Linked DNA regions of Drosophila melanogaster. The protein of the gene in region 2 interacts with the protein of the main gene of each other region in a pairwise test. Each region holds a gene or a part of one and is shown on either strand. Other genes may lie near its edges. The genes, in order: CG32428, Hn, Map60 and TfAP-2.

Evidence for each region.
Region 1: the proteins of Hn (region 2) and CG32428 interact in a two-hybrid assay, tested with the Drosophila melanogaster proteins (one large-scale study listed by BioGRID).
Region 3: the proteins of Hn (region 2) and Map60 interact in a two-hybrid assay, tested with the Drosophila melanogaster proteins (one large-scale study listed by BioGRID).
Region 4: the proteins of Hn (region 2) and TfAP-2 interact in a two-hybrid assay, tested with the Drosophila melanogaster proteins (one large-scale study listed by BioGRID).

Annotation. Positions count from the first base shown.
Region 1 is NT_037436.4:20,467,515-20,476,221, forward strand, and holds CG32428 (uncharacterized protein), read right to left. Parts: upstream 5,859-8,707; 5' UTR 5,461-5,858; coding exon 5,127-5,460; intron 3,635-5,126; coding exon 3,440-3,634; coding exon of another isoform or gene 3,381-3,439; exon of another isoform or gene 2,509-3,380; intron 2,471-2,508; coding exon 2,283-2,470; 3' UTR 2,160-2,282; downstream 1-2,159. Other genes in the region: Tdh (L-threonine dehydrogenase), read left to right, coding at 205-454, 613-739, 799-946, 1,452-1,557, 1,618-1,936; CG5969 (uncharacterized protein), read left to right, coding at 6,384-6,455, 6,518-6,763; isoQC (iso glutaminyl cyclase), read left to right, coding at 7,013-7,129, 8,051-8,707.
Region 2 is NT_037436.4:7,757,225-7,764,786, reverse strand, and holds Hn (henna), read right to left. Parts: upstream 4,335-7,562; 5' UTR 4,161-4,334; coding exon 4,131-4,160; intron 3,804-4,130; exon of another isoform or gene 3,510-3,803; intron 3,421-3,509; exon of another isoform or gene 3,240-3,420; coding exon of another isoform or gene 3,225-3,239; coding exon 2,552-3,224; intron 2,494-2,551; coding exon 2,231-2,493; intron 2,166-2,230; coding exon 1,936-2,165; intron 1,876-1,935; coding exon 1,713-1,875; 3' UTR 1,621-1,712; downstream 1-1,620. Other genes in the region: Clk (clock), read left to right, coding at 1-574; CG32373 (uncharacterized protein), read right to left, coding at 5,737-5,778, 5,844-6,067, 6,166-6,756, 6,834-6,959, 7,023-7,134, 7,200-7,495.
Region 3 is NT_033778.4:9,587,791-9,594,479, reverse strand, and holds Map60 (Microtubule-associated protein 60), read right to left. Parts: upstream 3,614-6,689; 5' UTR 3,452-3,613; coding exon 3,180-3,451; intron 3,116-3,179; coding exon 2,065-3,115; 3' UTR 1,736-2,064; downstream 1-1,735. Other genes in the region: CG1827 (uncharacterized protein), read right to left, coding at 4,096-5,164, 5,218-5,330; clos (closca), read left to right, coding at 1-91, 718-1,490, 1,554-1,733, 5,675-6,089, 6,150-6,474; RpL31 (ribosomal protein L31), read right to left, coding at 6,553-6,689.
Region 4 is NT_037436.4:21,596,416-21,603,606, reverse strand, and holds the start of TfAP-2 (transcription factor AP-2), read right to left. Parts: upstream 4,752-7,191; 5' UTR 4,326-4,751; coding exon 4,269-4,325; intron 1-4,268.

The DNA.
Region 1 (8,707 bases), about 13 Mb from region 2:
GTGATTTTAGCTCCAAATATTATATGTAAATTCCCTATACCTGTGCATGGAAAAACTAATTTTCCTATTTTAATTCGTTTATACACGTTTTATTTCTCAAAATGCTGGCCCGTTAAGTGTGAAGCCTGAAAGAATGCTACAATATGTATTGTAGATTCACTTTCAATAAAATCTGAGTGCAACAATCGTTTTGATTTCTTTCAGGTGGCTTGGGCCAGTTGGGCATCGAGTGCGCCAAACTCCTGCGGACGCAGTATGGCAGCCAAAACGTGATCCTCTCGGACATTATAAAGCCCAGTCAGTCGGTACTGGAGAATGGTCCCTACATTTTTGCCGACATCCTGGACTTCAAGGGTCTCCAGAAGATCGTTGTGGACCATCGCATTGACTGGCTGATCCATTTCTCGGCCCTGCTGAGTGCGGTGGGAGAGCAAAATGTTCCACTGGCTGTGAGGTAGGATATCTTAGTTATCTCTAGTTGCAATCATTATAGCAAACCCTATCCTACATTCCTTTCCAAGTAACTAAAGTCAAGTAACTACTCCCACGTAACTATTGCATAATGACTCTTGTGCCATTTTAATCGTAAGTAATATGAATCCTCCATCGCAGGGTCAACATCGAGGGTGTCCACAACGTCATCGAGCTGGCGAAGCAGTATAAGCTCCGCATCTTCGTACCAAGCACAATCGGAGCCTTCGGTCCCGACAGTCCTCGCAATCCCACGCCGAATGTTACGGTAGGTCCACCACTTTCAAAGCCAGAAGTTTGTTCGATACTGAGGACCCATTTCCGCAGATCCAACGGCCGCGCACCATTTACGGCGTTTCCAAGGTGCACGCCGAGCTGATTGGCGAATACTACTACCACAAGTTTGGACTGGACTTCAGATGCCTGCGCTTCCCAGGAGTGATTTCCAGTGATCCGCCGGGCGGCGGCACCACAGGTATTTAAGCACCGTACATTTCTGTGGAGACTCAAGCACATCAATCTGCGTGGAAATATCTGCGAGATACTCTTCCCGCTGAAGTCATGTCGTCGAGCGCACTTCAAGCTTTATTTAATCCAATTTCGTATCATAAATGCTCCAATTGAAGATAGTTTATGATAATCAAAGAGCATGACAATGGCCATAATTCGTACAAAATGCAGAGGGTTTTGTTGGGGAGCCGCAAACCTGGTGACCCATATTAACTTATCTTTGATTGAACTGATTAACTTAAAGATTGTCTAAGTCTCAACTACTCTGCATTGCTTTCACTCATGAATGGAATAATAATGCTTATTACACTTTGGGGAAAGCTAATTTGTTTTAATGCCATTGCATTCTTATGAAATCACGTATACGCACCGTGAATCGAATCATTTCTGCAGCTTTATACAAATTTATAATGTACCAAAAACAAGTCCTGCTTTAACATTTCACATTTGTTATTTGTTTCAACTTTTAGATTACGCTGTGGCCGTGTTCCATGAAGCGCTGCGCAATGGAAAGTACACCTGCTACCTGCGTCCTGACACAAGACTGCCCATGATGTACATTGAAGATTGTTTGCGGTGAGTAATAAGTGCATTGTAACAAACTATTTCTTTGTTACTAATGACCCATCTAACTAGGGCTCTCCTCGAGTTCATGCGTGCTCCCAACGAACAGCTGAAGCGCCGCGTCTACAACGTGACCGCCATGTCCTTCACTCCCGAGGAGCTGTTCGCCCAGCTGGGCAAGCACGTGCCCAATCTGCACGTGACCTACAAGCCAGATAGCCGCCAGTTGATCGCAGACGCCTGGCCGCAGGTATTCGATGACTCCGATGCGCGGCGCGACTGGCACTGGCAGCACAAGTACGACCTGTCCAACCTGGTGGACTTCATGATCAAGGACGTGCAGGATAACTACATTAATGTTCAGCCGGAGCAGCAGACTCTGCAGATCTAAGACGTGGATCGAACAACCGCATCTAGTATTGCTAAGTAATGAAATCCAATCGCATTTAACACTGCATTTATCTAGTGAATAGCAACACAAACCACTGTAACATTTTACCTTTTAAAATACAGTAAGGCATTTATTGGAAAGGAAAACTATTGGTTCATTTCATCTTGAAGAATTGTGATCTTAAAGTTCTTCAGCACATGGAAATACTTTCGATTATTGATGTGAGTTTCGCACGATAGCTTTTGGTTTATTCGAACTCAAATACTATTGGTAAGCACCTTTAGTTTGCGACAGCTTATATTACAACTTAGGCTAGGATGTACAATTCTTGCTCGGAGTTACTTTATCATATATCAGACTCCTCTAGCTCCGATCCGCCGAGCCCACAAAAGTGGTGCAGACTGCCGCCGTGTGTGGCTATATACAAGTCCGCTTCGGCTTCGCTGCCTATGGACTTTAATTTGATTTTCCCAATAGAATTATTAGATTTTCTTGACTTTTGCTGCGGGGACGGCACTCGTTGCTCTGCGGATTCTGTAAACGAGCAGATTGGAGATTTGTCTATCAATTTGGGTCACTAACTTGGCCTTTCGCGTTTGCTGTTTGGATCTTCCACAAAGTGCTCTTTAAAAGTTGGCTGACTTCATTAACTTAAACTTCGAATAAAATAGAAAAAATAAAGTATATAAAAAAAATTTAAGTATAACAGAATTTATATAAAGATCGGTGGTAGCTGTTAAGTTTATTGCAAATATATGTGAGTGTAAAAATTGATACAAAAGATATAAGCACTCACCGCGGTCTTAAGCTACTAAGTCATCAATATACCTAAAGCATATGTTGATAACGATTTGAACTAATGGTAAAGTATACCTTAGAAATAAATTTACGACTATGGTTGCGTATCAGCCAACTTCACATATTAAATTCACTTTGTGAAGGCTCCCAGCAATCGCTCCAGGCTGATTGAACATTTCACTTAACATATATTGCTTGCTTTTTTGTGATTGCAATGTTTCGCAGGTCTAACTATTACTTTTTGAAATTAATTACGTATTTCAATTCTTTAGGTAGTTAAGTACAGTTTATGTTCGATGTTCGACTTAGCTGTTGTTTGTACAATAGTTCGTGAGTTTAACAATTTATACAGAATACTTATTGGCTGAGTCGTTAGCTGATTGTTTTTTTTTTTTACAAAATTTGAATTTTTGGTATATGGTAGGTATGTGCATTGCGGATATTTTCAATTCAATTGCTCCTTTGCGTTAATTTGCTTTCTGAGTGATATGCGAACATTTTTCGATACATTGTCGGCTGTTTAGCAAATAAAGAGAGACGCGTCGCTCGGTGAACTGTTGCATGTGTTTCTTGTGCGCTTTTCTCAGCTACAGTACATGTTTTGGGTTATATATGTACATTTTGAGTTTTGTGTGAACGAGGGCCCCTAAATCATGTGCGACATCATGCAACGACTCACATCACGGTTGGCGCGATGCAAATGACCTTGATAATGCTGATGAATGCGCTGATATTGATGTGGCTGCTGTGGATGTTGCTGTTGCTCTTGATGTTGCTGCTGCTGCGCTGGAAAACTCGTCTCCGATTCCATCATCATCATGCCGCCGGTGGCCTGCATCTCGTAATCCATCAAAGAGGCCTGCGTTCCAATTATTTGTGTGGCAGGCAAGGAAAAGAAATCTGCAAGGCAATAAACCGATCATTAAGTTACATTAACTTATATAAAATAATTTACAATTTATTATAATTGTATGTACAAACTGAAGTCTATTCCGATTTTTCTCAGTGCAACGGCAATGCAACGCAACACGTTGACACTATCGATGCTTGGCCCAATTACCGATCGTTTATTTATAACCAATTCGGAGCAGAGCAGTGTGTTGTCATTTCTTATCTACGAGTTAGTTTCTTTTTTTCTGCTTTTTGTTTGTGCTGATAACCTTATCAACGCAATCGGAAACTATAAGGTAACGAAGGCAAAACGGAGTGCACAGATTAACAACAACTAATTAAGTGTAGTCATAGTTGCAAAAATACATATGTATATTTATTCCAATAGAAAACATTTAAAATTGTATTTCTATTATTTTGTACCCCTTTTAAAAATATTAATATAGATCAAAAAAATTGAGATATATATTTAAGTAAATCGTGGACAAAACTAAATGAAATATTCGTACATATCATTGAAATCACTTAAAAACATTTAAGAAGCGTTTATACCCTCAGAAAGAGTATAGATTATTGATTCACTCCCGCAGATATACACATTTCTTTTACCGGCTGTATATATTTACGCCCACACTGCCTTCCCCCTTTGTTTTCTTCTATTGTTGGAACACTTTTGCGAATGCAGATTGATTAAACTGGCGGTGTAAGAAGAATCGTAACACTCTGTTGACCCAGTGTACATAGTCATCTCCGCAGTACCTCCAGTTAATCCCCACTACTTGTGTGTTTTGTTTAGTAGGCCAAACACACCGATATACATATATGCATATGTATGTCTATAAAGACTGAGTCAAGCCGGTTTTTCTTTGCTAAATTTAAGCGGCTGTCAAGTGCTATCGTTTCGAGTCCGGTACCCTCTGTATGCCACAGATAGTCCGGATCCCACCGAATAACTGAACAGTGATAACACAGGTCGCTGGGAGAGCCAATGGGAGAAGAAATGGGGCCGCAAGGTCAGAGATAATTGTGTAAATTTACAAGTTTTACGACACTTTCACGCAACACCAATTAAATGCGCGGGCATAAGAGCCAAGGTCGAGAGATTATAAACAAAATTACAGCTTAAGTCGTCTGGTGTGTTCCGGTTTTTAAATTCATACCAACAAAAATGCCTTCAATACTCATTTAAAGTTAAATTAATATCATATTTGGTTCAAGTATAATTTGAATTTCATTGCAAGTGTTAAATTTAAGTTCAAAATGGTTTGAGACACTAAAAAATGCAACCATTACTCTTAAAGGATTGAGTATAACATAATAATATATTTCTGAGTGTTTTCTGAAACTAATGAGGATATTTAATATTTAAAGGCTGCTCGACAACAAATTTATTTATTGGAATTATTGCATGTGCAATTGCTAAGTAAGCCTAATATAAAACTGCCTTAAACAATTTAATAATTAAATAACTAAGCTTGCATTTTTGAGCAGCGATACTCACCATTGCAGTACTGGGCGGCCAAGTCAGACTCGTCGTAGCGACATCTCTTGGTGTACACCGGTTGGTCCGTGTCCAAATCCCCGACAGGATTGTGACCGGGATTCAGGCGCTTCTTGCAGCGCAGGACTTCCGGAGGCAGGACGACCGGCATCGGTTGTGCCGCGAGGTTATTGCCATCATTGTTGTTGTTGTTGTTGTTGGCGTCGGTCATGAAGGTGACGGCGCGTGGATTGAACGGATCCATCGAAGGACGCAGCGCTCCAGTTTCGAAAGTGGCGGCCGCCGACGACGACGGATCACCATGTGCCCAGCACTCGAAGTTCGTCAAAACCATCGCGCGCCAGCTGCAGTGGAATTTCCCCAAAAAAACCGAAAAGCAAGTACAGTAAATTCGGAAAAAACGCTCCTCTGCGTCCGTACTGTACTGTACGAAATCGTGCGGCGAACTGCAGGCGCGTATTTTTCCCCTAATTGAAATCGTATTTGTATGCAGTATGGATTTTGATGGCTCTGTCGGCTTAATAAGCGCCGAAAATACGCAGCAGTTGCTAAAATGGATGAAATAATTCAATTAACACACGCAAGCGGGGCGCGCGAGCATTCGGCCGAAATGCGACTGTAAATGCGGTGACGGCAACTGTTAAAAATAAACCAATAAGCAAGTTTTACATTTTGCCGCGTGCGCCTTTCGATTCACGATTGCTCTTTTGTTTTCCTTTCGCTCCAGTGTGACCACACTGCTGGTGTCGCAATAAGGCGTGCGACCCTGGAGAAAAATACCGAAGAAGTTGCGAAAAGACAGCTGTGGTTGCAAAAATAGTGCAGATCTTATGAATCTCATTGGAAGTCATGGAAACTTATAATTTATATATATTTATATTTATAATTATCGAAAATCGCGAAACAGCGTACAATATGTTACTTGAACAAATATGACACTTCATTTTGTATACCTAAAGAAATAGCTTCAATACTTCTCTTTTATTTTGATATAATTTTAACTTTTTACTCAATTAAAATGAATTAAAAAATGAGAATTTAGTTGAAAATATTTCGATAGCAACGATACCAACGATTAATCGACTAGTCGCAGTATTTTCTGGTATATTTTGAATGCTGGCACGGTACTACCACTTTATCATGTGATTTGTGATTTGTCAAATATTTCTGATAACCGAATGGCAGACCAAAGCAAAACTAGAAATTGAGAGAAATTGCTGATTTTTCAATTAAGCTGCATTCTATTTAACTGAAAAGATGTCGACCAAGAACAAGAAAGCCGCCGGAGGCAACGGAGTTGCGCCGAAACAAACCCGCCAGCAGTCGCACGTATGTAACATGACGGCTCCGATTGCCGGCTAGCTAATCCCTTGTTTATTTTGGATGCCCAGGACTCGCAGGACTACAGCTCCTTCAAGACAGTGCTCTTCTACTGCATGCTTATCGTTTTCCTGCCCGTGCTGACCTTCTTTGTGCTGAAGGGCTTCGTTCTGGACCAGTTCCTCGACATTTCCGAAGTCAAAGTGAACATAGCATCCGCCGTGGGAGCGGTCGTTGCATTGCACATCGCCCTGGGACTCTATATATACAGGGCCTACTTTGGGGCACCCGGTTCCAAGGGCTCCAAAACGGACTAATCCTCATCTACCCCGGACTGTTACCCTATTTCCATTAACTTTAAGTCGGTAGAGCACTCTTGTACATACATACATGCTACATATATAGATACAATTGTTTACATGCCAGCGAGGGAGGAGAAAGTCGCCTGTAAACCGTGTGTAATCGCTTTTCATTGCATAAGTTTCGATAACAGCGTGGAAAACGTGTTGTGTTGTGTAGTGTTCTGTGTGCATAATTTGTATTAAAAATATACATGCATAAGTGAAATGCGTCTGCTACTCAGAAATTATTCCCTAATGGAGGCCGTCAAAAGATTGCTGCCGAGACCGCGCAAAAAAATCTACAATCTAGGCGCTTGCTTCGAACTGGTGGATATTCCTAAGGTTAACTAAAACATACATTTATTTGTACTCTCTGCTTGAAAGGGGAGTTCTGTATAAAGTATACTGACTTCGGGGATTTTATTATATTGATAAATTAATTTTATGTTTTTGAATTTTATATTATATGTTTTCTTTTTGATTGAAGCACAAATTAGTCATTTTATTATTTTGTAAGAAGAGAATGGCTAGTGAACTGAATATTTCGTGTAACCATTGCTTAAGACCCCTGCTCATTAAATCTAGACACGCCCGTGACCTGTTTTTATGGGGGTGCCACCTGTTCGGGACTGGTGCTGCCACCTGATACAAATGGCAAGCAGCTGTTTAAATAATACGCGTAAACAAAACGATTTTGGTTGAATTAGTAAACAAGGAAATTAAATGATTTTTGAGAGGAGTGCAATAAATTACTGATGGGAAACAAATAGACACCCACAACGAGCGTTACCTATAGACAGTGTTATTTTCGTTAGCATTTTGACCCCCTTTGCGACGCCCATTTTTGTTATTTTGTGCCTTACAAGTCGGCCGTAAAAACTGGCCAAAATGATAATTTAATAGACTCGCCAAAGGGTCTTAAGTACAAGCCGGAGTGTGCCGCAAAATAGTTGCGCAGCCGGATGACCAATCTTTAAACTTCTTACGAACCTGCCGCTATTGATTGCAACCACCTGTTGGGACACAACACTCCCACCGCCGAACAAAAACACTCAGCCACGTAGTCTTAAGTCAGTCGGTTAAATATGCTACATCGAACAGCTAGAATGTGGACGCTGTGCGTGCAGACAGCTTTGATAGCCACCTTGGTGAGGGGATCCACTTCCCAGAAGGATAATCTCGTAGGAAGAACACAGGTCAATGGAGGGTAATGCAGCTAAACCAACCGCCTGCTTAATATGTGCTTTCTTTTAATTCAAACAGATATCCTACAATCCCAGCGAGCTCTCCGAGCCCCGATTCCTGGAGTACAGCAATCTATCCGATAAGCTACACCTAAGGGAAGCCATTGACAAAATCCTTATACCTCGAGTTGTGGGCACAACAAATCATAGCATCGTTCGCGAATACATCGTCCAGAGTTTGAGGGATCTAGACTGGGATGTGGAAGTAAACAGCTTTCATGATCACGCTCCCATCAAAGGCAAATTGCATTTCCACAACATCATCGCCACCCTGAATCCAAATGCTGAGAGATATCTGGTGCTGTCCTGCCATTATGATAGCAAATACATGCCTGGAGTGGAATTCCTGGGGGCCACCGACTCGGCAGTGCCCTGTGCCATGCTCCTCAACCTGGCCCAGGTGCTTCAGGAGCAGTTGAAACCCCTCAAGAAGAGCAAACTGAGTTTGATGCTCTTGTTCTTCGATGGCGAGGAGGCTTTTGAGGAGTGGGGACCCAAGGACTCCATCTATGGAGCACGACACCTGGCCAAAAAGTGGCACCATGAAGGAAAACTTGATAGAATAGATATGCTGGTGCTCCTGGATCTGTTGGGAGCCCCCGATCCGGCATTCTACAGCTTCTTCGAAAACACCGAGTCCTGGTACATGCGTATCCAGTCCGTGGAGACACGTCTT
Region 2 (7,562 bases):
GCAACAACAAAATGATATTTTACTGCGTGAGGATATCGATGATATAGACGCCTTTCTCAATCTGTCCCCCCTGCACTCATTGGGCTCGCAATCCACCATTAATCCCTTCAACTCCAGCAGCAATAACAACAATCAAAGCTACAATGGAGGCAGTAATCTGAATAATGGCAACCAGAACAACAACAATCGCAGTTCAAATCCTCCGCAAAATAATAACGAGGACTCGCTGTTGTCCTGCATGCAGATGGCCACCGAATCGAGTCCTTCGATCAACTTTCACATGGGCATCAGCGATGATGGCTCCGAAACGCAGAGCGAGGACAACAAGATGATGCACACTTCCGGCAGCAATCTGGTGCAGCAGCAACAGCAGCAGCAGCAACAACAACAAATCCTGCAGCAGCATCAACAGCAGTCAAATAGCTTCTTCAGTTCGAATCCCTTTCTCAACAGTCAGAATCAGAATCAAAACCAATTGCCAAACGATCTGGAAATATTGCCATACCAGATGTCCCAAGAGCAATCACAGAATCTATTCAACTCGCCACACACAGCCCCAGGCAGTAGTCAATAGCGTATACCCACTGTATATAACACTCTGTAGCGATAGGAAAAGATAGAATTGTATAACTCCAGGCAACCCATATAACCACATATCCGTGTATTATCAAGTTTGGCCTCTGGCTCTCTTTATCGAACCTCATCTATCGGAAGCCCAGAGCTAGTTGTAGATCTCAACAGACTGAGTATTGTCCCACCCCGCTCCCATTATGCGTTGTATATAACATAAACATAGGTGTACTATAGAAAAGGTCTCAAAAAAAAAAAATCCATTGTAAGTAGGTTCTAAATTGTTGTAGTTTGTAGCAAGAACCCATCGTTTCCATAGGTTAGCCTTATCCAGTAAGTGCCATCGAGGCGCAAACAAGGATCTCTGATACGAAATCGAACCTTAAAACCTAATCCTAAGTTATTTGTATTCTAATATACTGAGAAGCGACTAACAAGCAAACGAGTTGAGCAAAGCTAATTCAATTCCATATTATTTTCAAGACTGGGCTTCGTCATTGAGGTCAAAAATGATATTTATCGTACGATTTAGTGTTATTATGTATGTATAACTCATAACTCAGGTTGAGATTGCAACTGACATTTATTTTGCTGTGAAGATATTCCCATAAGTTTTCTTTAGGCCCGATCTTTTCTGACAGCTGAAATGCCATTAGTTCAATCATTATTACAATTTCCCCTGCATTACCATTTTACTGTTGGAAAAGTTCGTTCGAATATGCTTCGATCTGCAGCTGATAAAGAGCCAAATGCTTTAAACTTAGAACTTGTAAATGGAAACAAACTATCTTAAACTCAACTACAACTACCTTAATAATTTTAGTTAGCTCAATGTTTAAGATTTGTACATACCTATAGGACGAGTCGTTAGAACTTGCTTAAGCCTGTAAATACGATGAGGATAATGTAGACCCATTTTGTACATAACTGTTTATATGTTTTTCAAAAGAGCTTAACAACAAAATGTAATTGAACATGCTAACCAAACCAAAAAAAAAAACCAGAACATTATCGATACAGAGTTGTAATAAAGCAAAACAAAAAACAGTTACAAAAACTTACATAATTGCATGTTATTTATTATTTGATTCATTCTTAATAGTAAGTAAAGAGAGGGAGTAAAAAATGTATATGAATTCTACTCAGACGCGCAGCTTGGCAACGGCATTCTGAAGAATCTGGAACTCGGAGTTAATGTTGTCCATCAGATTCGAAATCTGGGGCTTCGAGTCGAGAACCTCAACACTCTGAGTATAGGCATTGTAGCGAACACCAAAGGGTCGGGGAATCGAGTTCGCAAATTTACTAAAAGTAATTCAAGTTATTTAACACTTTCGTTAGATATGTTTAGGCCTAGTAACTTACATGGTCTTCTCCTTGGCGGTTTCGAAACTATCGGCCACATAGTACAGAGGCTGGAACTGAGTAATGGGATACTTGGTGACGCCAGTGACCTCCGGCTCAAAGTCCTTCAGCTGCGGCTTGTCCGTGAGGCAATACTCCAGTTCCCCGTAGGAGGACAGCAGACCAGCTCCGTACGCCTTCAACTCACCCTCCTGGCGGCACACGCCGTACTCAACAGTGAACCAGAAGATCTGAAAGAAAGAATTCACGCATCACACAGTTATCCTTTGTTAGCCTAGAGCAAAGAGCCACTTACGGTGGACAATTTCTCAATGTAATCATCGGGTGCTCCCAGGGAAGCTAGCCCGATCTCCTGACTGAATTGGGCAAAAGCTGGATCTGCAAAAAGCGGCACGTGGCCCATCAGCTCGTGGCAGACATCTGGTTCCGGTGTGTACATGGGCTTGCTGGGATGTCGGATATACTGAGTGGAGTGGAAGACGCGGAAGGCCAGTCCAGCCAGGAAATCCCGAGAGCTGAGTAGTCCAGCCACTGGACGCAGAGTGAAACCTGTGCAATCTGAAGTGCAGCAATTTAATGTTACGAATTCTATCTAATGGGCAGTAATCGAACTAACCCCTCAAAAAGTTGGACACATCCTCCAGCTGGGGAATGTTATCCTCTCGGAATCCACAGTTGTCCACCAGCAAGGGAAAGACGTGGTTGTACTCGCGACAGGCATGTGTCTTATACAGCTTCGTAAGATTCCTGAAGATAATGCCCCAGGTCTCGATCTCCTCCTTGGTGTAATCCACATGGGGCAAGGGCTCGCCATGCTTGTAGTTGTAGGCAATGTCGGCGAAGTACTTGCGACGCTTGCGGTATTCCGGATCGGTAAAACCAGGATGATCGGCATCCAGCTCCGATCCGTAGCTCAGAATCTGATTGGCGAAACGATCCAGATCGCGTATACGCCGCGGGAACCAGGGCACAGCCGTGGCATTATCCTTGTAGTCACGCGAAATGATGTTAAAGTAGCTACACTGCTCCTTCACATCCTCGATGGCTTTTCCCAAGGCTCCCGATTTTCCATCGGCCTCCACGAAAAACTCATAACCGGGAACACGCAGCGAGGAACGCGACTCAATATGCACCAGGTTTATGTCATGCTTCTTGAAGATGGCCAAAATGTTGGCCAAAGCTCCGCTGGACAACGACGAATCCTTGGGCGAAAACAGAAGACAGGTGTTCCTGGCCTCCTTAATATCTACACCCTCGACTATGTAAGCCGAATCCTCTACGCGCGTTGGCTGTAATAAATTCATTGGTAATTTAAAAAATATTTACGGTTTATATTTTTGCTGTTTGGGAAAACAGCCATTGCATCATTGGAAATTTGACAGATTGACTCCGAGTGACCTGGGCTAAACGAGCAGTCAAGCCAAACTATTTAATATAGATAATATTTCTCTGCTCTTATGACTATGCAATGTCTATCAGCAAATCTCCTATTACAGAGGCTACCAGGGCCCAAATCGCATAATCATTTAACCGAAGCCTTATATGAGCCAACGAACTGTAATTGTAGTACTTGCCTCAGATCTGCATCATTGAGATTGTTTGTGTTTTGGCTTGAACCCCCATATTGAAGGTTTAGGTCCGACCGCAATGGCAATCAGCGCATATTGCCAAGGACTCGGCCTAGAACTTGGTGTGCTGTATCTGTGGGAAGGTCTCCCAAGTAGTATACTTTGCAAGATCTTGAGCCATAACAAGGTCCTCTAACAGGGCTGAATTATTTGTTCTTAATGTATTTATATGACATCTTATTAAGCTGTACTGTTTCTACTTCCAATATATGCGCCTGACGTCTTAATTCAGGTTTTACTCTACAAAACACATTAATAAACTACTTGTTTAGGAGCGAAAATAAAATAAACCACTAGGAGTCCCAGACACCACTCTGTTTTCCTTTGTCTAGAACTATTGCGAACTAACCCAATTCCATGACAGGTTTTATACATTATAGATCCGCATTCTCATTTCAATCAAAATAATAAAATTATATTTTATTTGAATTTTTTTTCCTCAAAGGTTGGACAAGTTCATGCTGAGAACGCAGAATAATAAACTTGTTATTGTTTTTAATTTATTAGCTATTTTACGGATCACTTTCTATACCGGGTGCACAGAGGACTCTCGCCGAAGCAACAAACCTTATCAAAGGAGACCTGCCGCTGGTACATTTTCACAAGATTCTCGGGTTTCTCCACTGATAAGTACAATAAAACCGATGGCGAACGATCCGTTCAGCAAACGAATTAAAACTGATTTAATTTCTCTATGAATCGCGCGCTTAAATAGACTTTTCGATAGGCCCCATAGCTGAGCCCAAACGAAAATCAATCCGAACTGAAACCAGTAAAAAATACAAATAATATCGCGGGCAATCGGGCGAGTAAATGATCTTGGAACGGCATCCACATGCGATCCAATCGCGGCTATGGCTCTGCGGCTGCGGGGTTATCAGTGCCCAGTGTCTCGATGGGCCTAAAATCCCATTTCAGTATTCAGCTTCATTACAGAAGCCGTCGTCTAGCCGATCAAATCTAAATGTTGAGGCTTAAATACAGTCTAGCATCCATAATTCAAAATACGAAAAAAAGGAACGCCTGATTCGAAAAACCAGTTTTGAATGTTATAGATCTGTGTTCCTGGAACTTAGGCACAGTTTTCTATAGATAAAATATAATATCGTAAACAATGTTTTCTTACTTTTGAAGAACCCAAAGCACTTCCTTTTCGCATGTTCCACTGTATTTTGGAAATATTATCAGCTAAGACTCGCCCCTCTGCTGGGGTCCAAATTAACAAAACATTATTTCAGCTAGTTTTAGATTTGCTTTGTTTTGCAAAAAATCATACTGAATAATCTGGGCTGTGTTTTTCTAATGACAGGTTCTAACCAAACGAGTTCAACGGCATTTCAGGGCAATTATTTCAGTAGTGAATAGCTCCAAGTGGGCCTGGCACGCGCTACTCTTGGTTTTTTTTTTATACTTGCGGTCCACATCAGATTGACTGGAATCAATTAGTCCAATCGTTACACTCACCCGAACTTTTTGTCGGATTTTGTCTTTTAAATGGTAATACGCTTTCCTTAAGTCTAGGTGACTTACATTGTGGTACCCACTTGTAATTGTTAATCTATGAGTAGGTTTATTATTGTTTCAAGTTCAGAGTTCACTCGGTATAAGCACGTCAACAGATAACCCCGAAATTTAAGCTGATGTAATATTACAAGAGCTTACAAAAGCTAAAGCAATAAACCATATCTATACCATGTCTTTACTTCCGACATAAAATGTTTCAATATTCTTATTTCTATTTTTAGATATGTTTTTTGTCAATCCTAAAAAGCATTGATTTAGGCCCAAAAGTAGGCAAAGAAATCAGGTCATTTTTGAAGACAATGAGGGTATTAAGGCTAATATTTTATGTAGACCGAATTGATAATCCACTTTCAATACACTCCAAAATCAAGACGAAATGGGAGTGATCTATGATGACGATGCTTAAACATCCGAAAAACAAGCAAGCCCTATCTGTACCGTTTGCTTACAAGATTTGTCTTCAGCGGAGAATATTAAACATCTGTTCTACATGTCAAAAGTTTTACATCTTCATTGATTTTTACACACCAAGACTGATAGTCAATACAAAATCAATGCACGCTTCAGTGCAGGAGTGTAGGTTAAATTTATTTTTATTTTTTTTGTCGTTTTATATGTTAAAATAAATTAACGGCTTTGTGGAATCCGGTTAAGGCGGAGCGATCTTCACGCAGCCCTCGTCCTGTTTCACCTAAAAAATTAAATGCGTAAAGGTAAAATGTAAATATGTGTTATAGTTAGGTTACTCAGTCTTACTGATTGCTGAAACACATATTGTGGCACATTGTCCTGCCATCTTCTTTGGATCCAGCCCCATGGTGCCGCACAAATGAGCTGTGTGTCCATTCTGGGCAAATAGCCTCGATCACATAACAGTTCACAAATCGCGAGTGATTTGGATGGTTCATTATTGCAGCTTGCAGGATAGAAACGTCCATTGCGAGGGGGTGTCAAAACTGGACAACTCAATGCGAGGGATTCTAGAAATAGGATGCAATAGCAAATACATAATGTGTCTTATAAAATCCTATAGCACTAACTTAAATTGTTTGTACATTGTACATTGATGTGTACTTACCCACGCACTTGGCTTCTGGACTAGACCAAAGTCCGGTGTGTCCACAAACCGCAAATTGTGAGCCCTGCATGATATAACCCGCGTTGCAGGTAATATTGCAACGAGTGTAGTTGAAGCCATTTTGGAGATACTTATCGCAAGAAGCCTTTCCGTTGGCTGGTCCCTTAAACAAAGGGCATATATCCTTTCTTGGTGCTTCCTGACTGACAGGCGCGTCTTTCGATGGCGGTAATTTGGAGCCATCCAAAATACAACTATTTTGATCATCGAGTAGATGATATCCTTGGGGGCAATGGCAGATATAGGAACCTACCGTATTCTCGCATTTGTGCTCACAGTAACGGTAAGTCATTCGCCAAGAATCTGAATCAATATCCGCCAAATCGCATTCGTTAATGTCCTGACACTCACTGCCATCGTCGGACAGCTTGAATCCGGACTTGCACACTATTTCACCCGGGGAGAAACCATCGCCGTCGGTGGGCTCAACTCTGCCCACCAGTGACGGAAGGCATTTGTATGTTCCATTTAGGTTTTTACATCCAGCCGTACAGTCCCACGATAGTTCGGGATCAGCGCACTCATCAATGTCTAGAAGGTGGTAAGTAAATTTATAGGTATTTTTTTGTTTTGCTTATAGATTTCGACATAATTTTTTTAGTACTTACCCAAGCAAGTTTTTTCATCACTTTCGTCTATTTCAAAACCACTATTACAGGTGCATATGAATTCACCAGGAAGGTTGTTGCAAACTTGAGAGCAGCCGCCATTCGATTCCTTGCACTCGTCGATATCTGAAACAGAAGATAAAGCTTAGTGTATCTTAAGGATATATTGATTAAAAAATGTGTACCTACCATTACAGCTTCTTAAATCGGTGGAATTCAGTGTATAACCCTCATAGCATTCGCATTTATGAGTTGATCTGTTACATATATGAGCGCAACCACCATTATCAATCCTGCATCTCTACAATAAAGACGACTTATAAATGTATCTTATGATCAAGAGATCAGTTTCCAAAAAATCATTACCATTTTTTTTTGCTTCATTGAATGCGTGTTTCCTTTACCAATCTTTATGCAATTGGGTTTCAAACCAAGCCATATACCATTTGAGCAATAGAGTGCATTATCTTTGGCACGTTTGAGTTTGTAGTTGACGCGGCAGGAATAATAGGTCACAAGAAAGACATGTTCCCCATTTCGGCGAAGTTTGACGGATGCCTTAGCATTTTTAATCCTCGGAGGAGTCCAGCAGGTATCGTCGTATTGAAAAGATAAATTGTTATCTATTGCGGGGGTGATTTCGGGAATATCATTTAACGAAGCTGTAAAATTAATGCATTAAAAATCAATGTAATTCAAATAAATAAATAAATAATTGTATATAATAGA
Region 3 (6,689 bases), on a different chromosome or scaffold from region 2:
AGCATGACGTCACGTTCGCACAGCCTCCAGTTGCCAAATACGTAAAACTACGACGTGGCAGCAGCGGCGTTTTAATGGAGGGCACCAGTAGGTAAGTGAAATTGACCAAATGATCAAGGGGCAGGGGGCAATGAACAGGGGTAAAGTTGGTATCACGTTTCACTTTCGCAATTGTTTACGCGCTAACAGTTTTAGAGTCACTGCATCCGCAGAAGTCAGCTGTGCATTCCGTTTGGCAGGTGAAATTTCTGTACACGTTTGTACGTAGCGCGGGGCGGGGGTTGCACTTAATTCGAACACTCGCAGGTGTGCTTAATTACCTTGTCAATTGGTCGCTGATTGGGTTTGGTTAAATGCACTTTTTACGGTCGGGCAGTTTCGGCAGAGCAGAGGTTTGTGATTTGAAACAACAAAAACGTCTTCGCTAGAATCCCAAACGCCTGGCAGCTGGGGATGGCAGAAGCATCGGTATATCGATGTTTTCACAACTATTATCGATCTCTACAATAATCGTTGAATTTAAATATAAATCGAATTTATAGAACTTGGGATTAAAAGATTAATTATAAATCATTTTCGGATCATAAATATAAGTACTACTCTATAAAACATTTTTTAAATTTATACATGGCTTTACTCTCGCCTGGAATTTTGTGAGGAATACCATGCTACCAAATGGTTAATACTATATTAAAATAAATCTTTTTCATTTCTTAGCAACTTCTCCCTAGATTTTGATGATTTTGTAACTCACTCGTTGAAAACAGCCGGCTCTCACGCTATAAGTGGATATTGGAAACTGCCTGAGGCCTTTATTTCGGGAAATCTAAACGATATTTACATAAATAATTTAAACCTTGCTAATGATGTCGTTAGAATGCCTCTTCAAAATGACAGTATCAATCTTCCCTTGATAGTCGAAGCATTGAAAACTGTCCAGGGCGGCACTATAAATCGTCTCCATACAACCCCTGAAAGCCAGGTGGCGGATGTGCCTGTGGCCAAGTGGATCCATGGAGCAGCCTACCTTTACGGGAACCACAGTATTTCTGGCATTACTCATCTGAATAATGTCAATCTCTACAACGATCTTACCGTGAACGGGTCTGTAAATGGTGTCCCCTGGCAGGCGGACAAGCTCATTTTGATGGACAATGAGCAGGATATACCGGGCTCCCTGCTGGTGGCGAATAGTCTTCCCGAACAGAAGCGAGTTATGAGCAATAATGTGAAGAATCTCTGGGTGGATTTCGTCAACGATCTGCCCGTTAACGAGTTACTGGTCAGCAAGGCAGAAAACCGTCCCAATCTTCACGTGGAAAGCCAACTGATCTTCACCCAGCCCCTCACTGTGGGTCACTACGAAGCGGGCAACGGAAATGGGCTGCTGGATAAATATTACAAGAAAAAGCGGGGTGTCGAATCGAATGACATTCATGATTGGCAGCAGCTGCAGGAAAATGTGGCAGCTATTAAAAACAGATTGGCCAGTATGTTAAAAACACATTAATACAAATTCTCCTTTAGTCATGTGCATTAAATTCAACCAACAGAGCCGCCTAAAGTGCTGGAAGGCTTTGCTGTGCTGCAGAAATTACCTCATAAGGCCTCGCACATGAAGATCATCTCCGTGGACAACGAGGACGTACTGGCCATCTGGGAGCAGATGCCCAGCGAAGTAGGGACTACTTACACATGGCAACCGGATATACATCTTTTTGGGCGAAGTTCAAGTAAGTTATGTAGATTTATTTGCATATAAACGTATTTTAAAATCAAGTAGCATATTCAACCTTAAATAGGGACAAATTCGAAATCTCAAATATTAGAAATACATTTTAAATTTAGCTTTAAAATTCATGCGTAAATGCTATGAACACTCATACCAGAACTGTGAGTAAATACATTTTACAAGTGGGCGGCACAGAACGCAGACGTTTGAACACGGAAAAAATAATACGATAAATACGAGAAATGGTTCAGACAGGCCTACTACATAACTACCTTTTTAGTTTGTCTAATAAGTAAGCTGAGTAATCATTTAAATTGCGAGTATCAGTCGGTCTACTGCTCCAGTTCGTCGCTCTGCACATCGAGGATGGCGCGCAAGATGGACAGCTCCAGCTTGGCGGAGGCACGCGAAGAGAGTCTGTTCATCACATTGGCCACGTACAGCCCGAGAGACTCGTGTCGCGACGAGTTGCATAGATTCTTGAAAAAGGTTGGCGGCAGCGAGTTGTCAAAGTTGCCCAGGTTGATAATCTCGGGTGTATTGGAGGAGGCGGCGTTGATCTTCGGCCCGAAGATAATGTCATTCTTAAAGTCCAGCTCGTCGATGTGTGGCGAAAAGCCGTTTGTGGAAGCCACCGAGGTGGAAGCAATGGTGGCGGCTGTCGATGAGTTCGCTCCCCCACCACCACCGTTTATCTGTTGTGCCGATGGAATGGTGATGATGTTGATACCCGGCGGTGGTGTCTGGTTGTCCTCACGCTCCTTCTTAACCTGCATCAGCTGGGCAGTGGTTGTGTGCACCACATTGTTTCCCGCCGGCAGTTGATCTGGAACGCTGGTGTGCACTGAAGTTGCGGCTGCCGATGAAGCGGCTTGTTTCGGGCTCGTGGTCTTGGTCTGCTTTTTTTGCGCCGATGACGAGGTGTACTCCTCCGAAAGTTTGCGCTTCAAAGAATCTGGCAGCTGAATGGTGGTGCGCGAGGAGCTTGATCTTTGCCCACTGGCTGGCGCCTGTTGCCCAATAGCCGGTTTCGGTGCTGCTGCGGAGCTGGGCGTCTTCTTCACAGTAATTCCCTTCTTTTGCAGTACTGCTGCGGCGGCGGACAGCGAGCTACTTCGCGGTGTGTTGTTAGCCAGTGTGTTGAGCAGCTTTTTCTCCTCGATGGCTGGGCGAGGAGTGTCGACGTTGGGTTTGGCGTACGCCAACCGCTCGTCCTTTTCTGGCGAACCGGTGCTGTGTGACTTTGTGGGGCTTTCGCCGTCGGAGGACGCCGAGCCGGTAGAGTTGGTGTGCTGTCCGTACTGATGGGCGTCATCCTCGTCCTCAGGCTCCTGCACCTCCAGCATTTCGTACTCCTCCACCTCCTCCATGGGTACTTGATCACTGCAGAATAGCAGTAGAAATTTTGTTAGTGTTTCACGGTTAGAGGACTATTTACGCCACTTACTTCTCCTCCTTGATTGAGATTTTAGGCTCCTGATGGATCTGATGCATCAGACTGAAGAGCTTCCACGCCGAATTGCCCTTTAGCTTTTCCTGCTCGTACTTCTTTTGGAGCACTATGAAGATGGAGCGCGATTCGTGCACAGAGAGCTTGTTGAGACGCCCGATCCTGGCCCACGCCTCCTCCTGCTCCTGCTTGCTGGCGCCGCCATTGTTTGGATGCAGCACCTTTTCTTTGGCGATGTCCTGCAGAATCTTGTCCAGTTGGATTGCCATCTTAGTCAGCGACTTGCGGCCCGCTGGTTGCGCGTTCCTGATAATTTTGGAGGCTGTTTTGATAACACGCGACACACGAATTGGTATATGTAACTAGGATCCGCTTGTTTTTCTCTCCGCTTTCGCACCGTTCGCTTCTCTTTTCTTCTGTATTTGGCGTCGGTAAATTGGCGGAAAATGTGACCGTGCAACACGCAAATACTAGAAATGCCGCCTTTTGGTACAGTAACTTAGGGATGAGGGAGATTTTGGCAACATAGATGTTCACAGTTCACAGCTCTCGATGCAGTGAAAATTAAATTTTTATATATTATATTTATCACTATAAATATTAATACTTGCATTATTTTTACTTATATAACAATTATAATGTTTCTCCATAAGGAAAAGTTATTCATTTTGGTAGTCATAACTATCGAAGGAATGGTTTTTGTTTTGTCTTTTTCTATTCTATTCTCATACTTTATTTATTTATTTTATGTAAGGATCCTTACATATCGATAATTCTTAATACCGCTAATTTACGGTAAAACTACCCGTCTATCTTGCTGCCGATAGGGACAAACAAATAACGCAATTTATATTGCAGATGAGAACTCCACGAAATTTAAATTTTATTGAAATACGTTACAGTTTTCGCCACCTCACAACGCCACGATATTTACTTTGTCCTGACCACCTATGCATTTGACCGTTTCCAAGCGCGTAGGCCCATCCGCTCCGGCTGGACTGCTAACCATAAAGGGGAATTCGGCCAGGCCGTAGCAGGCAGCGCCATAATTACCCAGCCGATCTACGGCGATGAGAGCACCCATGAAATCCTTGTGGTGCTTGAGAATGCGGCGAAGGCCCTCTTGAGCTGCCTCAGCCGGAGGTTTTCCCGCCCGCATGGTCTCCACCGCTAGCAGGGAGGGCAGGAAGCGCATCATCACATCTCCATCTCCGGTTGCCACGGCTGCACCCACCTCGTTGTCTGCATAAGCGCCAGCACCCGGAATGGGGGAGTCGCCGACCCGTCCGGGAATCTTGTGCCGCGCCCCGTTGGTGGAGGTGCCGGCGTGGATGTTGCTTTCCACGTCGATGGCGATCATGCCGATGGTATCGTGGTTCTTGCGTCCGATCTCATACTCATTGCGGGCACGGTCCTCCTTCCAGCGGGTCAGCGGAGTCGGCCGCGGCTTATACGGGCCGCAAGAGACCTTGGGATCCGGGTGAACGTTCTTCCAGAAGTTTGGCTGGCAGTTCTCAGCCGTCCACTGTAACCACATGTCCTTCGACTCCGGCGTGACCAGCGACTCTGATTCGAATCCCATAGCATTGGCGAAAGCTGACGCCGCATCACCCACCAGCATGGTGTGCTGCGTGTGTTCCAGAACATGCCGGGCTACCTTAATGGCATCCTTAATGCGTCGCAGACCAGCCACTGCCCCCACATCCATGGTGGCCCCGTCCATGACCATGGCATCCAGTGTGGTTTCGCCCAACTCGTCCGGCGATCCGCCATAGCCCACCGTTCGGTCACACTGGAGTTTCTCACACTTCGAGCAGCCCTCCACTACCGCATTCCGCGTCTGCCGGAGTCCACCCTTGCTTTGCTTCAGGATTCGCCAGGCGAGCACATTGGCAGCCGTGAAGTTCCAAGTGTTAATGACCATGGGCAGCAGCTCACCCGTCGTCTTATTCGCCTTCACGGCAGTGGTGCCAGCTTTTCCACTGCAAAGGGGCGGATCTTAGCGAACAAAGAATACGCTGTATGCGCTGCTCACCTAAACGCCGAAGTCAGCGTTGGTTTGGGCGAAGTATTTACTGCCGCAAGGATGGAAAACGCCATGGTGGCCAAACAAAGGATCCAAAGACTTGCCCGCAAGTGCCTTCTCATGGTTAATCGTAATGGTCTCTACGAGAAGTCTTGGTGTATCACAATCTGTCCCTGTTCTGCCGGAAAATGGTCGAGTTCTGCTTTTAAATGCTAGCAGTCTAACCTCACTGTTTTGCTTTCTTATCTGTTGTTTTGATATACCCTCTAAAAGAGTCGTACACATTTTCAAATTGGTTTAAGCAATATTTTAAAACTTGAAAATGTTTCAACATAGATTAAGATATAGGCAAAAAACCACCTATTAATATCGATAAAGTCCTATCCGTATAGCCTATATTTGGAGTGGAATTATAGGAAGAGTATTCCACGGACACATCTATAAAACACTGCTTTCCTTTTTGTAGGCACAGCACTGACACAACTAAACAAGACAAACTTGAATCCAATCAATGAGGAGGCACAGAACCCGCAGAAACTGCAATTCAGATCATATGGATTTCAGTGCCGGGCACTTCAAGAGGAGAACCAGATAGTAATCCGATGCCTAGATGAGCAGAACAACAGCAGGGAAGCAATCTTGCCCAGGCGGGCCGTAAAACAGTTGTTGCCGGTCGCTGATTCAGATGATATGACCATTCTACTTCGTACTCCCAGAGCGGTGGAGCTTTGGAAGTGGAGTAATGGCAATTACTCTCTATCAAGCAGGCTGATAGATGGGCAGGTGGAGCAAATGGCTCTTAGTCAAGGAGGTGCTGGCATAGAGAGCGGATATGTGGCGCTGATGGCTTCATCGCCAGCAGCAGAGATTCGGATTTACAGGTAGATATTCATAAGCACTTCACGCATAGGGCATTTACAAGGATTTCACTCGTTTTGCAGCTTCGGCAGCCCAGACACGAGCAGCTTCCAACTGGACCAAGTCCTGGAGCTCGAGGACTCCCAACAGTCGCGGGTAATGCGCTTTATGCACCTGCCCGAGTCCGACGATCTACTGCTCTGTGTGTCCAACGTACTGCCGCAGCAACCGCTTCGCATCTACCAGCACCGCGGAGCAGCGGGATTCCAGCAAATCCTCGGCGACAGCGCCTTGCCAAAGGCTCATGCCCTGGAGGTGCTCTATCTGCCCAGCCATAAGCTGCGACTGCTGTCCATGGCCACGGAGGAGTCGGTCTACTTGCTGCAGCCACAGTTTACTACACTTTAAGTCACTTGTTTTGTTTGTTTTTTCTAAATAAAAATTACTTTTTATTAACCGTGTTTTCTTGGCCGTCAATTACGTTGCTTAGTCGTCGCTGGACTCGACATTCTCGGTCTGCAAGTTCTTGAACGTGGACACCGGCACATAGGTCACGTAAGTGTACAGCTTGTTGGGGGAGTCCTCATCGTCGTTGCGGCGACGCGCCAGGCGCACGCGAATGC
Region 4 (7,191 bases), about 14 Mb from region 2:
GCTATTACCAAAATTGCCGGTCCAAATCATTCCGCCTGGCAGAAGAGTGCCCGCCCAAGAAAAGAACATGCCTGCGCGATTCGATGTTCGCATTTTTTTCGGCCACTACCTGGTCTCCGGGTTTTGGATGCCACCAATTATATTGCGACATATAAAACAAGTAGGCCCTAACATCTTATAAAACTCCTCACTTTCATCGTGTGGACCAGTCGTTTTAATTACGCTGTCAAGTTGAATGATGGTGGGCTTCCAGGAAGGGGAGGAGGGCATCCCTCTGGACCTCAATACTCTGGAGGGATGTGACCAGGTTATATGGAAACATCGAGTGGCGTAAGGACCGCCTTGCGGCCATAGAATAGGCCGAGTTCATGCGGGCATTGTCATAATATTGTCAGTAAATAAAGAATCCATTCTGCGCATTTCGGGCGCGAATTTACATATGGTCTGCACTGGCCATCCGCGAACCGGCAGTACAGTGGGTCCCTAAGCCGCGCTCGTTTCCAATTAGATTACACACTCGTTCGACGTCCGGTGCTGTCATTTATTGGAACTGCAAGTTGGAACTGTCGGAAGAGCTATAAATTAAACGAATTTAAGAGGAAGCTTCGCTCCAAACGCTGCATATAATATTCATAACAACAATGGAAATGTTCAGCGGACGATAATCGATTTCTGCTTATTACGATTCTTGCAGGTACTCCTGCCCTGCTCGTCCTCCTCCTCCTCCTGGCTGCGCACGCGCTCCAATCCGCAGAGCTGGAGCTCGGCTGGATCCTCAGTCTCTTCCTTCGGCTCGAGCTCCAGCTCCAGCTCCTTGGCCCTCAAATGCGCGGAAGAGCGGAGGAGCCCTTAATGAAGTAGTAAAACCCATTCATAAATGTATTAAACCTGCTGGGTATTTGCGGAGCCTGCTCGGCCAAAATCGAAAAGCTGCGTCCCATCTTCTAGCGTGCAGATGACGAATAGAAGAACGACGAGCCGAAAGTGCCCACTTGGCGACCATGCATGTGCACTGCGAGAAAAGGTCGAGAGTGTTGTAAGAGAACCACTTTGTTTATGGGCTGCTGTATAGTATGCAAATTATACGATATGTTACATGAATCTCCGTATATAGTATTCACTACTAATTATACATAGGACTAAGGTTACTTCGTTCTGCAAATTGAAATATGACCATGCGATAAACTTACATATATGTATTGCTTTTTAATACTATATTATACTATTATAAGATAAACAAGAAATATTGGAAACTATGATTACAAGAACTCCACATGCACTGGCATTGTGATCTCCTTTTGAGCTCCTCACAACCCAATGATTCTCCCTGTGTAGCTTCTTCCGAACTCGACTGAGCTAAGCTCGGCTCGTCCGTTTGCAATCTGCGTCCAAAGGGCCGGCTTTCGATGCAGCAGCCTCGTGAGCCAACTGCAGGTCTGGCCTCCCCATCCTCCACATTCTGCCTCCGAGGAGGCAAGGCCAACGCATGTCGGCCAACCGATGATTTCGCTCTTGCCTTGGCTTTTGGCATCGGACGAGGATGTGGATGTGGTGCTTTGCACGGCTTTGGTTTTGGTTTTGGTTTGCCACGAGCCTAACACACGCCGTCCACATCGTCGAGGTTCCGACACTTGATTCTGGATTGTGCTGAGGATCTTGGCCACGTTATGAACATTTACATTTATCTTGCCAATCAATTTGGTTTTGTTTGGACTTTTTAATTTCCTCTCCGCAAATGAAATCAATTTTGATGCGTGCATATGCAATTCCAGTTTCCTCCGAGGATGTATCTGCATGTCTGTGGAAGCGGAAATGCCTTCCAGCGGATGCAAAGGACTCGGAATTATCTCGCCCGCACTGGCGAAATAATAAATATGATATGCGAATATGCAAATATGAACACGGATCGGTCTTACACTCTGATCCTATCGAAATTGTTTCATTCATCTTATTGCGAGTTTCCTCTAGTTCCATTTATATAATTTACTTTTAATCAAGACTATAGTATTCCTGCATCTGGAAGTGGGGGAAAGTTTAATGGCGCTTATTCATTTCTTTATGCAATCCCTAGCCCTGCGCACAATTACCATACCAACATGCCTCGCAATCCTACAAAGTGCACATTGTAAATTGGAACAATTATTCTAAATTATAAAGAAATTATTCAATAAATCATAAGGGAAGCCATCAATCAGGCTTTGAGCCCGAACCTCTTGGATGAAACGGAGTTTGGCTAATAAATAAGCCCAATGCTGAATACTTTTTGATATTTGGGAGCTGGGCTATGGGAACTTTTCTGCCAGTCTGTATGGCATTCTTTTTTTAGTTGGCGATCGCACGCAAATTGACGATGCGTTGCGCTTCAATCTCATAAATTATTTTGGCAACGCATCACGCGAGTGTCCCAGTGGGATCTTACCTGATTTGGGAGTCTTCGGAGTGCCAGGGACAGGTCCAGGACCAGTACCAGGACCAGCCAAACCAAACCAAACCAAAACCAAAGCTAATGCCAACACACTCGACATGCCCACTTTGCTGGCGGGACTCGGATTTTTGTGGGCGATGACTTTTGGTCTACCTCTTCGCTGTGTTTTTGTTTTGATCTTTGGCCCTTGCCCCGCAAATTGCCCTATTTTTTTATCGGGCATCGAAAAAGTTCTTGGAAGCAAGAACACCATATAATTTCGCTAATTAAATGGGGGAGCGTGTACCCACGCATTTCAAGAATTCCTCCATATTCGCATTTGAATTTTGACCACTGACGTCTGATCACTCCCACCGCCGTCACTTTTTGCTCTCTGCCTCGAAATCGTGAGTGCATTAAATGTAGGACCTTTTTTACTTTCAGATACGGTTTCCCTCCCATAACGCACATATTTGAAACAGCCAAACCGCTTAATTTGAGGCTTATGTCTGATGATACAAATACTAATACTAAGAGTACAAATCTTATAGAGACTTTAATCGAAATAACATAGAAAGCATAACATGGCTTTCTCTCTTGGATTTACATTTACAGTTATAGATATTATAAACGATCAAAGACTGTAAATATTGTACGATAAATTTGTATATGAAATTTAAAAGAAGATTAAAAAGATTTCAAGAATCATTACTCTAAAAACAGTGGACTTCATACACATACATATACATATGCTAGCTACAGTTTTAAGGTTCGTCTTTCCGACGGCTACTTTTGCCGTCTTAAAAAATAAATGATTCCAAATTGCCCGTTCAAAAAACAGAATAAAATTAAAAATGAGTGCAACTAACATTGCATCCTTTAAGGGTATGTTTCTCAATTACAAGTAAATAAAATAAGTTAACAGACCCATTGGCTTTTTCAATAAGATTTTATATTCTTTAGTCTTGTCGCCCTATAATATTTGAATAGAGAATTGCATTTAGTAAAGAGTTTTCAGCCCAAGAAAACCTATAAGGATACTGGGAAACTAAAATTAATACTTTGATACTGATCGAACATTACCTAATCTGAATACGAATATGCACATTTGATTTCGATTTGGTCCATTTGTGTCCAATGCATCTCGACTAGGATAACAAAAAAAGCAAACTGACTTCTTGAATGTCTGATTACCATAAACAAACACCGTTTGTATTCAGGTTTTAGATCCTGACTTTAATAAAATTTTTAAATAGACTCCTTGAGGTTTAAGACTGCCTACTTTAAAAAGTCAATTTAAATTTGAAGATGCATTTTCAAGGTTTAAGACCTCTAATTACAAGAGAATTGCATGCGCCTGTGATCGCAGTCTGCTTTCGGGGCCCCACACCCTCTTGGGCACTTGAGTGATCCCCGGACTCTTGGAGTGGGCACAATCAGGTTGAAGTTTATGTACTTATTATTCCCAGAGCAGAGTGTGCCACACGGAGTCGCAGGAGAACCCATTACTGTAAATTGCTCATTGATTTTGCTGCTAGAATGGCCCGGAATGGTAATCAGCTTGTGTGTGAATGTGAATCACGGGCGCAGATCTCTCGGTCCGGATCGCTGGCCAATGGTCGTAATTGGCCAATGGTTTTAAGGCTTGCGTGCCCCAAAATGCCCAAAGAAATTTCAGTGTCAATCAAGCTCGTCCGCCCATGGGCACTCGATGGTTCAATATCTTTGAGTATTTTGAGTAGCTAAAGCTGCGCCGATGCTCGGGCGGGGATTAGCCTGGGCAGATTTCGGCTGACAGACAATTTGGATAGATAGACCCGACCCTCCTCCGATCGAAGTATCCTGCAAAAGGCGCGCAGCTTACCATCATGAACTTCTGATCCTCGAACTGATGGTCGTTGGTGCGGTGTAGAATGTGCATGTTGATCCAAATTAGACGGCGATATCAACTAGTTGGAGAGCATAGGTTTTCTTTTGAACACTTGGGCCAGGGCCAATGCAAAACAGGTACGATCACTAAATAAGTATTTATTGAAAATCGATTTTTGGCACTGGTTAAGGCAACTGTGGGTGCTGGAGCTAGAGTTCCGTATCCGCCGCTATATACACTGCACTCTCCCCGATTGAAGGACAATAGACGTGATTTAATTGTATTTGAACTAATTTGCAGTTCGGATCCACGATCGTTTCGGTTCGGCTAGGTGCGGATCGGTTCGGAACGGAACGGAGCGGTTTCGGTACGGTTTTGGTTCGGTACGGTTCGGTTTGGTTTGGTTTGGTTAATTAAGCGAGGACCCGCAATCGAAATTCCGCCTTTGCGCAGCCACCAGACGTAGTTCTCGACTGAAGTTGGATTTTCTGGTTGGACGCAAAAACCTTCGGGGGATGTGCGATGTTGCCGCTGCTGCTGCGGCGGCGGCTGCTGCTGCTGCTGCTGCAGATGCTGCTGCTGCCGCGGCTGCTGCCGTTTTTTCTCCCATACAGCTGCGAAATACATAGGAAAAGTGCCCAAAGCCTATGCCCGTGCGCCGCGCGTCTGTATGGGTGTGAGGCGCACACAGATACGCCGGGCAAGCAGGTTTTCTGGCTTTCGGGCATCGAAGAGCGGCTTCCGAAGAGAGCCCGCCGCCCAAAGAGAGCACAGCCATTTATATTTCGGAAGCCACGCCCCGCCAGCGGACTACTAGACAATGGGCCGAGCCCGAAAACCGAAAACCCAGAGGCTGCGGCAGGCAGCGCAGCTCGCGTACAGACACACAGATGCGGATACACAGCCACACTGCCAGATGCGGATGCTCGCGAGATGCGAGTGCGATACGGATACGAATACGAATACATAGGGGTGGAATCGCATGCGAATGGCCGGGGTTGGCGACGCACCCGTGCCCCGAGGGTTGCTGGATCTCTGAGCCCGGGCTGCTACTGGGAAAACCCCGGCATTGGACGCCCAAATCGCCAGTGGTACGTGCTCCGGGTTCTTTCTTCTCTCGGGGATTAAGCGACCCACCTATGTATGTATGTATCTACGTACTTATCGAACGTTCGGGGGTTGCCATGTGAAAGAGGCTGTCCGCCCGATTTACATATTCTACATAAAAATCTACCCATATATGTAAGGGCGTGAGTGTGGGTCCTTGCTCGCCATAATCAAAACAAACTGAAAATAGCAGATTTTTATTTTTTCTATGGCTGTAGCTTTCGAACATTTGAGGGTAAAATTTTTGTAAACGATTAAACAAACGGAAAATCAACAGCAGGCCACTTCGCATGCTTAAAGATTTCTAATTTACAAATTCCCTTTTATATATAACACGATAGAGGAACTTAGGACAATTAAAGCACTCTTTAAAATTAAAGGTTCACTATAAACAAACTATTTTGGCTTGCCAATGAACTTATAACAAGCAAACTTCTTACTTGTGTCCCGCTTTAATAACCTTTATCTAAATAGTATAGTTAGTTTTACAACGATTATAATTAAAAAAATCGAAACAAATCAGAAAATTAATTTAAGGACAGGTGCTTCACAACTTCAAATCAGGAACACTATTATGTTTCACTAACTTCAGAGCTATAGAAGTTACCCATTCTGATGTTTTTTAAAATTAAATATTGATAGTTAACTAATTAGTCAATTATTTGTTAGATTTTTATAAGTACTTCATGAAACAATTATAATAATAACAAAAGTCAACGACTTTTCATATGCGAAGCCATAAAAATATAGTAATAGAGATGAAAATAAGGAAAAATTTTGGATGGCAAGAAAATCGATTATATGATATTGTTAAGGCATCGAAATACTTTTTGCAAACTTTAGTTCATTACTCAAACTCATGAATATAGCAATAAGGTAATGAAACATACTGAAAATTCTTATTCGTCAATATTGTTTTGTGTCAAACTATCCAAAAATATGGACTTTGCAAAAAAAGTTTAATCAATTAACATAAAATACAACCATTGCCACCGTTTAGACCAGCAGACCTTTTTATAAGTTACATGTGTTAGTAGGCCATAGAAATCAACAAAGTTGGTTAAAGTGTGAAAGTTGGGTTAAAAAGGCGCTGACTTAGATAAGTCTTGAGCACCAGGAATAAATCTTTAGTATCAACGTGGTGTTCTGTATGAATCTCCATCATTTGAATTCCTTGTTCTATTAACCACGCTGAAAAGCTGAAAGTAAGCGTCGCAATCCTCAAGAGACATTCATTTCATTTATTCCTGCTTTGTTTTCAGGTTACACAATTAGATCCGCCAGTAAGCGGGACAAGGATTAGCGGCTGTGGAAAATTGAATCACTCGGCGGATTGCCCAACCCGAGCTTTGAATGTTTGTCCGCCCCAATTGAATTATGCCATTAGCTTTCTAAGTGACTCAAATGGATTCGGGCTCCTATCTTCTGTTGCCAGGGGAGCAGAGCAAAGTTCAGCCGAGAAAGAAGGAGCGAAGCTCGGAGGAAAAGTATATCGGGCACGCAGTCATTAAGTCCGAATTTGTGGCAGGGCGAAATGAGATGTGAAACCGTGATCTCGCCGACTGCACATGCACATTATGTACGCGGAGCCACTCACGAAGCCACCTCGGAGGAGCTGGCCAAACAGTAAATTTCGTGGAGTGGAGTGCAGTGGAGTGGAAGCGGCGATCAGGTGCATTATCCAATTGCGGCGGTGGAATGCCGGACGACCCACCTCCATTTCAGCGATTTCATTGCGGCGGCACGACTTTTGATTGCGGCCACGACAAGAGAACGATCGATCGATCCATCCATCCATCGATCGATCGAT